Elephas maximus indicus: one gene and its partner. The protein of the gene in region 1 interacts with the protein of each later gene in a biochemical or structural test. Links are inferred from orthologs where the notes say so. Each region holds a gene or a part of one and is shown in the gene's direction. Other genes may lie near its edges.

What was found.
Region 2: of the proteins of SRPK2 (region 1) and PRPF38A, one has a biochemical effect on the other in vitro, tested with the Homo sapiens proteins (2 studies listed by BioGRID and IntAct). The link is inferred for Elephas maximus indicus from reciprocal best matches to the Homo sapiens genes SRPK2 and PRPF38A.

What each region holds. Positions count from the first base shown.
Region 1 is NC_064826.1:44,370,937-44,378,995, forward strand, and holds the start of SRPK2 (SRSF protein kinase 2), read left to right. Parts: upstream 1-5,041; 5' UTR 5,042-5,718; coding exon 5,719-5,814; intron 5,815-6,079; coding exon 6,080-6,194; intron 6,195-8,059. UniProt on the Homo sapiens protein: Serine/arginine-rich protein-specific kinase which specifically phosphorylates its substrates at serine residues located in regions rich in arginine/serine dipeptides, known as RS domains and is involved in the phosphorylation of SR splicing factors and the regulation of splicing.
Region 2 is NC_064821.1:95,523,671-95,531,724, forward strand, and holds the start of PRPF38A (pre-mRNA-splicing factor 38A), read left to right. Parts: upstream 1-5,014; 5' UTR 5,015-5,074; coding exon 5,075-5,204; intron 5,205-6,910; coding exon 6,911-7,070; intron 7,071-8,054. UniProt on the Homo sapiens protein: Involved in pre-mRNA splicing as a component of the spliceosome.

The sequences.
Region 1 (8,059 bases):
CATATATGGCGAGAGCGAAAGGGTTAATGTATGGTACAGAGATTTTCAATATGTGTAAGATAAAGACACATGGGCCAAGGACAAAATGTCTATGACATATGGAATGAAATTTTCATGAAAATACCTATGAGCTGTTGGGTTAGTTACTCAGTCTATGCCTTAGTTCCTGAAACTATAATGTTTGGGAAAATGGTACAGATTTTGAAAAATTGTTAATGTAAGTGAAGTGTTTTGCAGTGCTTTGTTATGTGCATTTATTAAATATTAGCTTCTTTGCATTCATTTTCCCCTTATTTCCAGCCAGGGTTAATTTACTGGCCCCTTAGGGGGGTGGTTGTGAAATTTCATTTGGTGTAGTACAACTGTTTTTCTTCTTTTGAGCCATTTATTAGTGTAACGCTGAAGTGATGGTGGTGGTAATACTCATGAAAAACCAATATAGTATGTCAACAGTTAAGATAGATGTATTTAAAAATGTATAAACCGTAAATGTGTAATTATTTTATTTAGATATATGGGTTAAAATGATCCAAAATTAAAGGAGGAAAATACTTGTTCCTGTGGGAAATAGCCTTATGGAGCTCCAGAATCTATGTCTGGGATTTTCTGGCTCTCTCTTGTCTCTTACCTTTTTGAAAGTTCTCTGGAATCCTGTGCCATCTTACCTCTTTAACTGAAAGCAAGGATGTGATTTTTATCTTTTTTCCCCTTATTCCCAGCATGTATACCTATGAAATAATAAAACTTTACCTATATCTGTATGTATTGGGATTTACCCATATTCAGTGTAATCGTTCCTGTAGCTGATGTTTGTATAGCAGTATTTAAGTTTGTTTTGTAATTTTACGTATTTATATTCATCACTTCGTGCCCTCCAAGTTGCAAGCCCTAAAAGAACAGGATCCTTTTTGTTGAAGAGATTTTGTTGAATACAATAGTCTCATCTGCTGGCATACAGCAGTTGAGGGCTCAGACCCTAGGCATAGACTACCTGGGTTCAGATCCCTGCTCTGCCATACTACCTCTGTGACCCATGGTAAGTTACTTAGCCTTTCTGTGCCTCAGTTTTCCTGTTTGTAAAATGAGGGTAATGATAATATTTCTCTTGCATGGTTATGGGAGGATTAAGAGAGTTATTATATGTAAAGCAAACAGAAGAGTGCTTGACACATAACTGGTAGAAAATAATAAAATGTTAGTTATTACTGTTATTGTTGCTATTTATTACTAGTATATTATTAATCTTCAGGCATTATTTCATGCTTAAAATGTTGTTTTCAAGTGACTAGAAGCTAGCGACTCAGTGTACAGCTAAAGATGATAAAGACGAAGAGTGTGTACTCTGGGATACTGATTCAAGGTCACTTGATAAAACAGACCTAAGACTTTTTGTATTCTTGATGTGTTTATGGTCCTGTACGCTGACTTCTGTTTATTAAAATGCAGAACTAGTTTGGATTTCATGTTCATGTAATTGGTAGGGAACCTTGTAGACCGTAAAACAAGAATAAAATAGACTTGGTCTATTTTGCTGAAGTGTCTGTGGTACTTCATAACATTTGCAAAGCAACAAAGCCTTGGAAGTAGACTTTACTATTGCTGCTGTGAGAAAGATTTTTTATAGAAATAAGCGACGAACTGAGGCTTGAGGTGAGAATTTTAGGATTTACAAATGAGAAAAGTGATAATTGGCAAAGTTCCTGAGGGGTACTGTGTGGGCGTACAGACACAAAATGAATTATGGTGAATCGACAAGCCTTATAAAAAGCTCCATGAAAAGTTTAATGTTTTTCTCCCACTATCACATAAAATTTTTAAAATTTGCTTTTAGATCTCATTTACCTATTGAATCTCTTATTTTAGTTTTGACTGTAGAGCTGATTATATTTTTACTAAATAAAACCAAGACTTTTTTGTGTGATATATAAGATGCTGTAGGAACAGGTCCCTGCCAGTATCTCTGGTTCATTTGCTATCAGTGTTCACCTCACTATTGTCACCTACCACATTGACTTAGATGGCCCACATGAATGATTCTCAGTAGCTTCGCTTGTGCAGTTTTTCTGCTTGGAATGGACTCCAGCTTACTTTCTTCACCTGGCAGGTCCTCCATAACCTACATAACCAAGCCCAAATGCCTCTGACCACTCCCTGCTCCGGACAGATAGGTCATTTCCTCCTTGCAGTCTCTGTAGCACAGCTAGCTATGGAGCTAGGCTTTGGAGTTAGAAGAATGCCTGGATTCTCATCTTGGTTCTTTTACTTGCTAGCTCTGAATTTTTTTTTTTTTTGAGATAAAATTCACATAACATAAACATCGACATTTTAAAGTGTACAATCCAGTGGTTTTGAGTATATTTACATGTTGTGGAACCATCCAAAACCACATTTTCTCCCGTGGAGTGGATGATGGGTTCATACCACCAAGCTATCAGTTAACAGCTGAACACTTAAATACTGTGCTACCAGGGATCCTTCGTACAGCTATCATGCCTATCTAATTCCATAGTATTTCCATTACCCTTAAAAGAAACCCTGTACCTATTAACAGATACTCCCCAGTCTCCCCTCTCCCATCCCTGGTCAACCCCTAATCTGCCTTCTGTCTCTGTCAATTTTGTGTTTGTATCGAAATGTATTCTGGATGTTTCATATAAATAGAATTGTACAATATGTGATCTTTTGTGTCTGGCATCTTTCATTTAGCATAATGCTTTCAGGGTTTATCCATTTGGTAGCATGTATCAGTATTCCATTCCTTTTCATGTATGGATATTCCACATTTTGTTTATCCATTCATTGGTTGATAGACACCCCCCCCTTTTTGGCAGTTATGAATAATGCTGTTGTGAATATTAATGTAAAGGTATTTATGTGAACATCTGTTTTCAGTCTCTTGGGTATTACACCTATGAGTGTAATTGCTGGGTCATAAGGTAATTCTATGAGTAAGTTTTTGAGGAGGTAGCATACTGTTTTCTGCCGTGGTCATACCATTTCTCATTCCCATCAGCAGTGCCTGAAGGTTCCAACGCTTTTTATTGTCTGTATTTTTTTATTATAGTCATCATCCTAGAGGGTGGTTGGCTGCTAACCAAAAGGTCTGCAGTTTGAATCTGCCATCTGCTCCTTAGAAACTCTATGGGGCAGTTGTACTCTGTCCTGTAAGGTTGCTATGAGTCAAAATTGACTGGACAGCAGCAAGTTTGGTTTTTGGTTTTAGTGGGAATGAAGTGGTATGTCATTGTGGTTTTGATTTGCATTTCTCTAACAACGAATGTTGTTGAACATCTTTTCATTTGTTGGCCATTTGTATATCCTGGAGAAATGCCTAGTCAAATCCTTTGCCTATTTTTAAACTGGATTGTTCTTTTTTTTTTTTTTATTGTTGAGTTGTAAGAGTTCTTTATATATGGATGCTATACCTTTATTAGATACCTGATTTGCAAATATTCTCTCCCATTCTGTTTTTACTTTCTTAATAATGTTCTTTGATGTACAAAATTTTTAATTTTGATGAAGTCCAATTTACTCCATATATTTTTTTAATCTTTTATTATTTATGCTTTGGTGCTATACCTAAGAAACCATTGCCTGATGCAAGATTATGAAGATTTACACCTATGTTTCCCTCTATAAGGATATTATAGTTTTAGCTTTTACTTAGTGATGGGGTTAATGTGTTTGACATGTGGCAAGGACATGAATTTTGGAGGCCATAAAGTAGAATGTCATGGATCGAATTGTGCCCTCCCAAAATATGTGTCAACTTGGCTAGGTCCTGATTTCCTGTATTGTGTGGTTGTCCTCCATTTTGTGATCTGATTATGCTCCATTTTATGTGTTGTAAATCCTGACTTCTGTATGTGAATGAGACAGGATTAGGTTTTGTTAATGAGATCCAATTATGCTTGTTATGTTAATGAAGCAGGATTAGGGTAGCATACATCACCCTTGCTTGAGTCACACCTTTCCTTTTACAAGAGATAAAAGGAGAGAGAATGGAGCAGAGAGGAGGGACCTGCCTACCACAAAGAAAGAAGAGCCCGTAGCGGAGTGCACCCTTTGGACCCGGGGTCCCTGTGCCAAGAACCTCCTAGACCCAGGAGAAGATTGATGCCAAGAAACATGGCGATCTCCAAGGAACACCAGGCCCACAGATGTTGAAAGGGGATGAGGACCTTTCCTCAGAGCAGACAGAGAGAAAGCGTTCCCCTAGAGCTGGTGCCCTGAATTGGGACTTCTATCCTCCTAAGCTGTGAGAGAATAAATTGCTGTTTGTTAAAGCCATCTACTTATGGTATTTCTGTTATAGAAGGACTAGATAACTAAGACTGTTCTTTAGGCCTTTGATCCATTTTTGGTTAATTTTTGTTTAGGTAGTTAAGTAAGTGTTCAGTTCATTCTTTTGCATGTGGATATCCAAGTTGTCCCAGCACCATTTGTTGAAGAGAGTATTCTTTCCCCATTGATTGGTCTTGGCACCCTTGTTGACATTAATCATAGATACAGGGGTTTATTTCTGAACTCTCAGTTCTAGTTCACTGATTTATATATCTGTCTTTATGCCAGTACCACACTGTCTTGATCACTCAAGCTTTTCGAAGTTGAGATGTGTGAGTCCTCTTTTTCTTTGTCAAGATTGTTTTGACTATTCAAGGCCCGTTACATTTCCTTATGAATTTTAGGGTTAGCTTGTTCATTTTTGCCAAAGTGGCTGTTGGAATTTTGATAGTGATTGCTTTGAATTTGTAAAGCAATTTGAGGAGTGCTGTCATCTTAACAATATTAAGTCTTCCAATTTATGAACACGGAGGCCTTTCCATTTATTTAGGCCTTTAATTTCTTTCAGCAATCTTTTGTAGTTTTCCATTTACAAGTTTTGTACTTCCTTGTTTAAATTTATTCCTAAGTATTTTATTTATTTGTTTTTGGTGTTACTGTAAATGGAATTGTTTAGCTCTCGAATCTTGAGCAAATTTCTTAAACTTTCTGGGCTTTAGTTTCCACATGTGTCAGATGGAAATTATCTTAAGTACCTACCTCTTCCCTTTGTTGTGAGAATTTAATTAGTTAATTCATATAAAGGATTAAATGAGCCTGACAGTTCAAGGTAAATGTTTAATATTAGGGATTTTAGCCTTATATATATTTGTAACCAGTCTCTTTGCCCCAACACCTGTTGGTGCTCAGGGAATATAGGAGGACGGTCAAGTTAAGGCTGTATCTCATCAATTTCAGTTCTTAAGGTTTGAAAATGTGTGTTGGGCATCAGGGAAACTTCCTCTTTTGCCTGCATATTTTGATAAGGCTTGTTTTCTTACACATGTAAGTAAGCCTTGCACAATAATTTTGCCACCTCCTAATATAGTGAAGTTTCCTTTTGAGATGTTCCCATGGGCCTTGGTTTATCAGAGGAGGAGGAAAACAGGCATTACCTTGGTGAACTAACAGTCCTTCATATATGAAAATTGTAAATGAAATTAAGTTGGCATAAGGTATGACCTGTGAGTCACAACATTAGAGACTCAAGCAGTTCCAGTTGGATATTAATATGTAGTATTTAAAGAATTATCTTTAAGTTAGGATTATGAAAATACTTCCATTCTCTCAGCATTACTCTCTGGTATAATTTCTAAAAGAGATATAGTAGAAAATTTTACAAATGATACTTGTTTTTTTAAATGTAGAACAGAGAAAACTTTGAAACTTGGCCTCATGCTGAACAGAGCATTGGGTCTCATCCTGAGTATAACAACTCACAGTCATCCAAGAACTTGTGTTACTTCTTCTGTCTTCCCCACCAGGCTCAGTGTAAGTAAGTGTCTTTGTTCTGTTTAGGGGCAGAATTAACTATTAATGATACTTCGCTGTGGTGAGAAATTTAGACTGTTTTTAGGGATCAGTTTCAATACATTTCATTGCTAATGAAGGGCCAAGATGGTGAGGCTAATAACATTAGGAATTTATTTAAACATTCGTATTTTCACACTGTAATACTTTTTTTGCATTTAGTTTCTGAAATAACAGATAACCCATATTGTGCAATGAATGTAAAGTTTTAATTTATTCTACACAGCACTTAGGCTGGGTGATCTGGGATGTTGGACTGCTGGTGTGGATGTGGCCTGAACAGCTTTCTCTTCCCCTCTCTGCCTTCTTGCTCACTGGCTTGCAGTCACACTTCTCTGAAGGTGGGTATTGCTAAGAATAGAGACCACAATTTCGGGGGAATTTGCTTGCTTTTCTTCGTAGAATTTGAAAGTCAACAGCAAACCTCTCATAGTAAACTAGTTTATTTCTTGGTTTACAAATTACATCCAGAATAACAATGAAAGACTTTTGACAGGAAAAAAAATATTTCCTCTAGTAAAATGGAGTTTCTGGTAAGTGGCAGCAGTGTCTCCAGTCTGAAACCACCTCCTTCACTTCCTTTAACCCCCTTCCCCCAGCCCCTGCCTCGTTGCAGAGTTTGGTGTGAACATACTGTAGTCCACTGGCACGTTATCATATTCAGGAACACAAGTAATCCTGTTTTGGAATTATTGTTGTTAGGTGTCAGCAAGTCATGGCAACTCATAGCGACCATAAGTGTTAACAGAATGAAACACCACCTGGTCCTGAACCATCTTCACAGTTGTTAAGCTTGACCTCATTGTTGCAACCACTGTGTCAGTCTATCTCGTTGAGGGTCTTCCTGTTTTTTGCTGGCTCTCTACTTCACCAAGCATGATTTTCTTCACCAGGGACTGGTCCCTCCTGATAATATGTCCAAAGTACTTGAGACGAAGCCTTGCCATCCTCGTGTCTAAGGAGTATTCTGGCTGTATTTCTTCCAAGACAGATTTGTTTGTTACTTCTGGCAGTCCATGGTATATTCAGTATTCTTTGCCAATATCATAATTCAAAGGCATCAGTTCTTCTTTGGTCTTCTTTATTCATTGTCCAGCTTTCGCATGCATATGAGGCAACTGAAAACACCATGGCTTGTGTCAGGTGCACCTTAGTCCTTAATGTGACATCTTTGCTTCTTAACACTTTGAAGAGGTCTTTTACAGCAGATTTTCCTAATGCGGTGTGAATGCATCTTTTGATTTTTTGACTGCTGCTTCCATAGGCATTGATTTGTGGATCCAAGTAAAATGAAATCTTTGACAACTGCAATATTTTCTCCGTTTATCATGTTGCTTATTGATTCATTTGTCAGAATTTTTTGTTTTCTTTGTGTTGATGTGTAATCCATACTGAAGGCTGCAGTCTTTGATCTTCATTGATAAGTACTTCAAGTCTGCCTCACTTTTAGCAAGCAAGGTTGTGTCATCTGCATATCGCAGTTTGTTAATGAGTCTTCTTCCAATCCCGGAGCTGCATTCTTCTTCATACAGTCTGGCTTCTCTGATTATTTGCTCAGCCTACAGATTGAATAAGTGTGGTGAAAGGATATAACCCTGATGCACACCTTTCCTTATTTTAAACCACGCAGTGTACCTTTGTTGTGTTCAAACAACTGCCTCTTGATCTGTGTACAGGTTCCACATGAGCGCAATCAAGTGTTCTGGAATTCCCATTCTTTGTAATGTTATCCATAAAGGCAACTGTTAAGGAATGGGGAGTAGAATTGGGATTATAACTTGAAAAATGAAATCAAATTTATGTAAGCTTATACATTTTATTTAACAAAACTTGTTATTAAATATGTACGGATTTTTAGAATGAATGAAAAAATATATCGTGTTGATTGTTTTTGGCATACCTTTTCATACTAAGTTACGTGATAACATGATTGGACATGGAGGGAATTTTTGCAAACTATTTAAGAGTTTTATTATTTTCCCTCTCTGTCTCTAATAATTGAACAGTTCTCATTCTTGTGACACTTAGCATATTATTGTCCTTGTTGATTTTTGTTTTTATTTACTAACCCTTCTAATACTTACTATAGCCTCATTTTTTTAGTATTTTTGCTTGGGATTCTAGCATTTCCTTTGTGTTTTCCATCAACTTTGTGAAATGTATCTTTTGCAGATTTTCAGTTTCACTTTGCTCAAGATTTGTATTT
Region 2 (8,054 bases), on another chromosome or scaffold:
AATGGATTTTATCAAGTGTATCTTCCCACTTATATTAAAAAAAAAAAAAATCAGGGTCACTAACCTGTACTGCTCTGGCAGTTGGACAGTATTTTCCTTTGCAGCTGACAGGTCCTGGATATGAGTATTGTAAACAGCTGAAACGAAATACTTGCATTAAAGTATATGGAAAAAAGGACATTTTTAGTGTTAAAAACAGAAACGTGAATGAAAACCTATCGGATAATCATCTTTATAATTTGGAAACTGAAATCTACTAGATCTAATAATAATTCTGGCCCATTATCTTAAGCTTAAATAACTAAAAAAAAACAAAAAACAAAAAACCTTTCCTCTGAATTCAGTGTTTTTCTTATGGAGCTAAAATCTGGCAAAACTGGGGTTGAAAAAAAAAACTCAAAGAATTATTCTGAATTCCTATAGAAAGTCCATTAACACCAGTCTGTGTTGAAAACGACAGAGTTAGAACAGCCTATCAACATCCTAACTAAACAAGCTGGTTTCCTAAAGTTCAGTGGCATTATGTCTCACATTATTTTTGAGAACCTTGACTCACAGAAGATGTATGAACGATTGTTATTATGTACATTTATGTACAGTATAATTACAACACACTTCTATTAAAACCAAGCTAATTTTAATTAAGTACACTGTAGAAATAACAGATTGATGAGTAAAAACAGAATACTTGTGCTCAAGTAACAAATGAATTTGGATGCATAATATCCAATAATCTTTTGGTAACAATTAGTAAAAGTACTTGAATCTGAATAATTGTTCAAGGAAATACATAACTTATAGGGTCACTATGAGTTGGAATCGACTCAACGGCAATGGGTTTGGTTTAATGGATCATGTAACATGGAACGATCAGAAGTAAACTGGAACTCTTCACCTTTTCCACAGTGAAATCAAGCCAAATATGCTACGAGACACAAACGATTCAAGTAAATTGCAGTACCCACTAAGATCTCTCGTTAAAATGGGAAAATCGGAGAGTGTTTTGTAGCAAATTAGTATTTCCCAGCAAACTTTCTACAATTCTTAAATAATCTAATTGTAGGACAGTCTGATTTCACTGTCACAGTGATCTTATTTCAAACCAACAAACGGGCATACAGAAAGCTTGTCTCCATACCTATACCAAAAAAAAAAAAAAAAACCCCAGTGCTGTTGAGTCGATTCCGACTCATAGCGACCCTATAGGACAGAGTACAACTGCCCCATAGAGTTTCCAAGGAACACCTGGCGGATTTGAACTGCTGACCCTTTGGTTAGCAGCTGTAGCACTTAACCACTACACCACCAGGGTTTCCTCCATACTTATAAAGTACTCAAATTCATGTTCTCAACTGTTTTAAATCCAGGTTATATTGCAGTTTACCACAGCAGGTGTCCTCTTCCAAAAACTAAGGCAATATTCATTTTCTAGTAGACCATGGGCTGTGTGCAATGAGACCAGCCAGTATATGGGTGTATGTGTGAAAGGGTGGGTGATTGTCCCTAGGCTGAGCAGGTGACGAAGGGAGGCTAACTGGACTGTAGAACCTGCCTCCACCTCTGCCTGTCACTCAGCTTCAGGCCTCCTTTCCAAACCTCAAAAAGACCAAGGTTGTTACTCCTCTCAGATTTCTGCAGTTGCTATCATCTCTTCCTACACGTCTTTGCAGGGATGGCTCAAGTTTCAGCTCCAATGTCACTTCCTCAGAGAGGTCTTTGCTGACACCCGATCGAATGTTACGCACTGCCCCTCTTTATGCTATCCCCCGGGGATCATGTTCCATTATACAACCTTATTTTACTTTTCATCAAAGCAATAACCATTATGCTATTTTCTCTGCTTCCCACATTAGAATGTAACTTCCAAAGGAGCAGAGACCCTATCTTAAGTCATGACTGCATTCCCAGGGCCTAGGTCAGGACCTGGCACGTAGTAGGTAAAAGACTGACTGAATGAAATGAACTGGTTTTTAAAATCATCAGGAGGCCAAGCATCAGGAATGAAGGACATAGAGCAGCCGGAACTCTCATGCCCTGCTGGAAGAAGTGGGTATTGGTACAATCACTTTGGAAACTAGCAGCATCTACTAAAGCTGAACATACGCATCACCTGCGATTCAGCTGTTCCATTCCAAGGGATATACCCAACAAGAATACACACATATCATCAAAAGGCATAGACAAGAATATTCCTAGCAGCATTATACAGCCATGAAATTGAAGCAACTACAACTCCATGCAACTATGTGGGGGAAACCTCGGGAAATATAGTTGAGCTTAAGAAATAAGACACGAAAAGAATACAAACTATATTGGTTTTGTTTACGTAAAGCACAAAAACAGACAAAAGTCATCTGTGTTGTTAGAAGTGAGAAGAGAGGATAACCTAGGTAACTGAAAGGAGACATGGCAAGGCGACTTCTGGGATGCTGGTAATGTCGTTGCTTGATCTGGATGTTGGATCCGTGGGTATATTCTCTTTGAGAAAATACATTACCCTCTACATTTATGATTTGTGCACTTCCCCGAATATACCTTATTCTTCAGTGAAAAGCTCAAACGTTAGTAGTTCTTCTGAAGAAGCAGCATAAGGAAATCAGAGCCTCTTGTACCCCACTCTTAGACCAATCCAGCATTTCATCTCAGCACAGACATTCCCCAAGAGGGATGGTGGATGGAATAGGAAGACAGGCCTGACTTGGCCATGCAAAAGGCTTTGGCTTCTATAAGATAACCCACTACAGGCTCTGGATGTCACAGATACTGGAAATCTGGAAGACACACACCACTCAGTCCAGAGGCCACACCCAAGAAAAACAGATCATTGAGTTGCAGTAAAAACAATGATACCTAAAACCAAACCCATTGCCCCGTTGAGTCAGATCTAACTCATAGCAACCCTCTGCACAACAGAACGAAGCACTGCCAGTCCTGTGCCATCTGACAATCGTTGCTATGCTTAAGCTCACTGTTGCAGCCATTGTGTCAATCCATCTCCTCGAGGGGTCTCCCTTTTTTTCTATAACTCTCCACTTTAGGACAAAGTAGAACTGCCCCATAGGGTTTCCAAGGAGCAGCTGGTGGATTTGAACTACCCACCTTTTGTTTAGCAGCCAAGCTCTTAACCACTGTGCCACCAGGGCTCCAAAAAACAATGATAGCAGATATTTATTTCACCAATATGACAGAAGGCTGGGCCAAAGCTCTTGACACATTTATCTCATTTAATCCTCACAATAACCCTAGAACAATGCTGGTACACAGTAAGTGCACTGTTGGTGCTCAATAATAAATATTTGCTGAATGAAAGGTAGCTGCTATTATCACTTCCAAGGTATCCAATGTTATACAGAATGACAGAGCCTTAACTGACACTCTGAACATCCAGATTCCAGTGACTATGCTCTTAACCACTTCTCCTTACTGAGAAACTGGATAATGTCAATAACACATGCCAATGAGAGCTCACTTTTGGTATGTTTATTATAATAAGTTAGGTTTCCTAACCCATCGAGTGGCCAACTGAATCTCAATTTCTTTACCCACAAAATGAGGATAAATTTTTAAACACCCACTGTGTGCCAGGAACTATTCTACGATTGTTGAAGATTAAGTGAAATGCATAATGATAAATTCACTCCCCCACTCCCTTAATCCCCCTTCCATTTATTTGTAAGAGGCAATGGTTTTTTTTTTTGTTTTAATAATATCATGAGTGTTACAGAACTCACATACAGTTAACACAAAATTTTGCATTCCATTTAAGGGGATTCATAAACCTTTTAAAGTCCCAATACTGTCCTCTGTTACAGTTAAAAGCTGTTGCAGAGGGGTTTGGCTAACTATGCTCGCACATCCAAAACCTCCACTGGCACTCACAAGCACCCAACAAAACAAACAAAGGTCATTTTTTTACAGACAAGATAAAATTAACATATCCAATCACTGCGTTTCACAGATAGTAGCCCAGAAGAAAACAATGCTTTTTTTCCAGCTGACGCGTTTTGCCCTCTATTCCGGGATCAGCCTAGAATAATTGGGAAAAGCGCCATTAAAATTTTCTTCTGGAAAAAAAAAATGTGAATTAGAGCCCAGCAGTAAAGAGCAACTAATCCAGAAAAGACCTGGGTACTAAAAGCGACCCAGACTTAAAAATGTTTTTGTCTGGGCAAAATCGCTACATCCATAAAATGGGGTAATAACTTTTGCTGTTCCGCCTTCCCTGTAGTGCAACACTGAGGCTCAAAGCAGGAAACAGATGCGAGTGCATCACAAGGGGCAACATAGACGGAAGGAACAGTTCCGAGCATTGCTGAGAGTCCGAGGGCGCTGCTGTAGGCTTCCGGCTTCCCCAGTGCCAATTCTCAGTCCCTGGCGCAGCAGGAAGCATTTTAGGAGTTGGGATGGGGAAAAAGACGCCTTTTGCCGGGGTTAGAAAGGTGCCTGGCACTTAACGGGGGCTTAGTAAATGTCTGCTGAATGAATTAGTGAATATGTGAGTCTGTAGAGAACACCCTCAGTTCTAGCGGCTCAGGTCTGCCTCCAGCCCGCAGACTCACCCGGAGACCGAAGCTTCCTCAGGCTGGGCGCAAGCCCTCTGCTTCCCCCCGCCTCCGCTTCAGGAGCTCCTGGTGCTGCAGCAACTCTAAATTGCCCCAGCTGGACGCCTCCTCTTACAGCCACGAGGATCGCGACCAAGCCGAACGCCACCGGCAAAGCCGATGCCTCGCTAAGGACGGCAAGAAGAAGGTGGAGAAAAGAGAATTTCGCGCCAAACGACGTAGTCCCGCCCCCAGGCTGTCTCCGTGTTACGACACCAACCAGCTCTCCCGTCCCGCCTACGTAGATTGGACGCATGACGTACGTCTGCCGACGTGCAGCAGCCATCATTGGTTTGGGCGGGGTTTCTGTTCACGGAAGTTAGTTCCTTCCACATCAGAGTTTCCGGTTTCAAAATGGTCGCCTCGGAGAGTTAGTGATTTTTCCATCCCCATCGAGTTTTTTTTTTTTTTTTTTTAACCTGGATGTGACGTATTAAAGGACCCGACGGAAATAGAGCTGAAGGCTTTCTAAGATGGCGAACCGTACGGTGAAGGATGCACACAGCATCCACGGCACCAACCCTCAATATCTTGTGGAGAAGATCATTCGGACGCGAATTTATGAGTCCAAGTACTGGAAAGAGGAATGTTTTGGACTTACAGGTGAGCGGGAGCGCGCGCACCGCCTCGGCTGCTTGTGGCCCACCCCCCCTGGCTGGGCGCTGAATGGGATTGGCCCCTGGGGGCAAGACTGGCTCAGTGTTGGTGGGTAGGATTGGAGAGGAGTGTGTCATGAAAAGGAGCCCTGGTGGAGCAATGGTTAAGCGACAAGTTCGAACCCATCAGCCGCTCAGCGGGAGAAAAGATCTGGCGATCTGCTCCGTAAAGATTTCAGCCTAGGAAACCCTATGAGGGGCAGTTCTACTCTGCCCTATAGGGTTGTTATGAGTCAGAATCGACTTGACGGCCACGGAGCTTTTTTTTTTTTTTTTTTTTAACCATTAACGAGCTATCGCTTAAGAAATCAGACTGCAAGTTCTTTAGGATAAATTCTGTATTAATATATTCAGCATTATAGCTAAACAATTTATAGCTAGGCACTGTGCTGAGTACTAGAGATACAGGTATATGGATGAACAAGACAGACACAGTCAATACTATTAATGAGTTTATAACTTAGCAAGGCAGGAAGTATGAAAAACGAAAGTATGATGAGTAGTTTGAAAGAAGCAGCAGAACGCAATAGAAATGTACGACAAGGGAACCTAACCTAGCGTTGGGAAGGAAAAAAACCCACTGCCATCCAGTCAATTCTGACTCATAGCGACCCTAGGACAGAGTAGAACTGCCCCATAGCGTTTCCAAGGCTGTAAATTTTATGGAAGCAGACTGTCACATCTTTGGCCTGCCGAACGGCTGCTGGGTTTGAACCGTTAAACCTTTTGGTTAACCACTGCGCCACTAGGGCTCTGTTGGGAAGGGAAGTGGTTATGCTTTTCAGAAAAATCGGTCTTTTTGTTAGGAGCTGAGCTGCCTCACGTAGGTACTTAGCGTTTTATGTATATTATCGCATTCAATCCTCACTACAACCCAGTTGAGCTGACAGACTCAAAGAGAGATAAAATGACTGGCCTAAGATCACACCGCTATTGTTTGAGTATTGGCAACAGTGTTGGGAGGTTATTATTGCCATTCTGTGGGAGAGACTTACTCGAGGTTGTGTAGCTATTGAGTTTTTTTTTTTTTTTTAATTTTTAATCCAGCAATTTTTTCCCTAGCATGATGGTGATGAGCGTGGACTCTGAAGTTAGACCGCTTAGATTTAAATCCAGGCCCTGTAACTTTTTGGCTCTGGGCCTGGAGCAAGTCACTTAACCTTTCTTAGGCCTGAGTTTCCTTATCTAAAAGTAGAGAACAATGCTAGAACTTAGGTCATGGTTTGCTGTGAAGATTAAATGAGATAATATGAAATGCTTAGCAGAGCACTGGGCATATAGTAAGCCCTCAATTAGATGCTACTATTGTTATTTTTATGGAGCTCTGGTGGCACAGTGGTTAACAGCTATGGCTGCTAACCAAAAAGTCAGCAGTTAGAAGCCACCAGCTGCTCCTTGGAAACCCTGTGGGGCAGTTCTGCTCTGTTCTGTAGAATCGCTATGAGTCGGAATTGACTCAGCGGCACCAGGTTTAGTTTGGTTTTGGTGTTATTATTGTTATTAATATGCACTTGCTCTCCTAATACTAAACTGTTGGTGAGTGTTCTGGAGCACCAACACGTGAACTGACTTCTTTCCACTTCACACCAGGATAAGCTTAACCCTGAAGTATCTGAGATGGCACTTGATTTGTTTTTGTTTTTCTTTTTTTAGCTGAACTTGTAGTTGATAAAGCCATGGAGTTAAGGTTTGTGGGTGGCGTTTATGGCGGCAACATAAAGCCAACTCCCTTTCTGTGTTTGACCTTGAAGATGCTGCAGATTCAACCCGAGAAGGATATCATTGTAGAGTTTATCAAAAATGAAGATTTCAAGTGAGTGTGATGTTGACTGGCTAATACAAAAGCATCGTTTTGGACATCCCAGAATTGGACTTTGGTTAAGAGGAATGAACATAGTATCTCTCATTTCCACAGAGACTTCCGCTCCAGGGTTTTGCTCTTGAGTCCTTGGGTTTGTGTTTTGCCTGTTCTGATTGAATTGATATTCTCCTTTACTTTCTTAATCTTGGTAACTTCTCCCCCAAAAAAGAGGATTTCTTTACCAATTCACTGAACATACATTAAGCAGCAGTGAGGATCTAATGTGTTGGTAGGCACTGGATACTTTAGGGTGAAGAAAACAACATAGTATGGTAGATAAGAGAGAAAACCATGGTGTTAGACAGGTCTGAATTTTTATCTAGACTTTATCTCTAATTAACTGTGACCTCAAAGAAGTTGACGTAATTTTCTAAGCTTTATTTTCTTTGGAAACCCTGGTGGCGTAGTGGTTAAGTGCTACGGCTGCTAACCAAAGGGTCAGCAGTTCGAATCTGCCAGGCGCTCCTTGAAAACTCTATGGGGCAGTTCTACTCTGTCCTATGGGGTCGCTATGAGTCGGAATCGACTCGACAGCACTGGGTTTGGTTTGGTTTTGGTTTTATTTTCTTTATCTGTAAAATTCGGATAACAATACCTACTTGTAAGATTGATTTTAAAGAAGATAATGCATGTAAACCACTCAACACAGCATCTCTTACGGGATAAACACCCAGGAAATGTCAGCTGCTGTAATTGTTTATCATTCATCATCAAGGAGCTTACAGACTACTATATGAGACAGAAATCATAGCTTATTACATGCCATCCTCTAAGGGCTTTTACCCTCACAACATATAATAATAATTCATTTAGCCCTCACAACAGCCCTGTCAATAAATGTTATCCCTATTTTACAGATGAGGAAACTGAGGCACAGAGAGTTTAAGTAATATACCCAAGGCCAAACAGCTAGTAAGTGGCAAAGTTGCTTCAGAG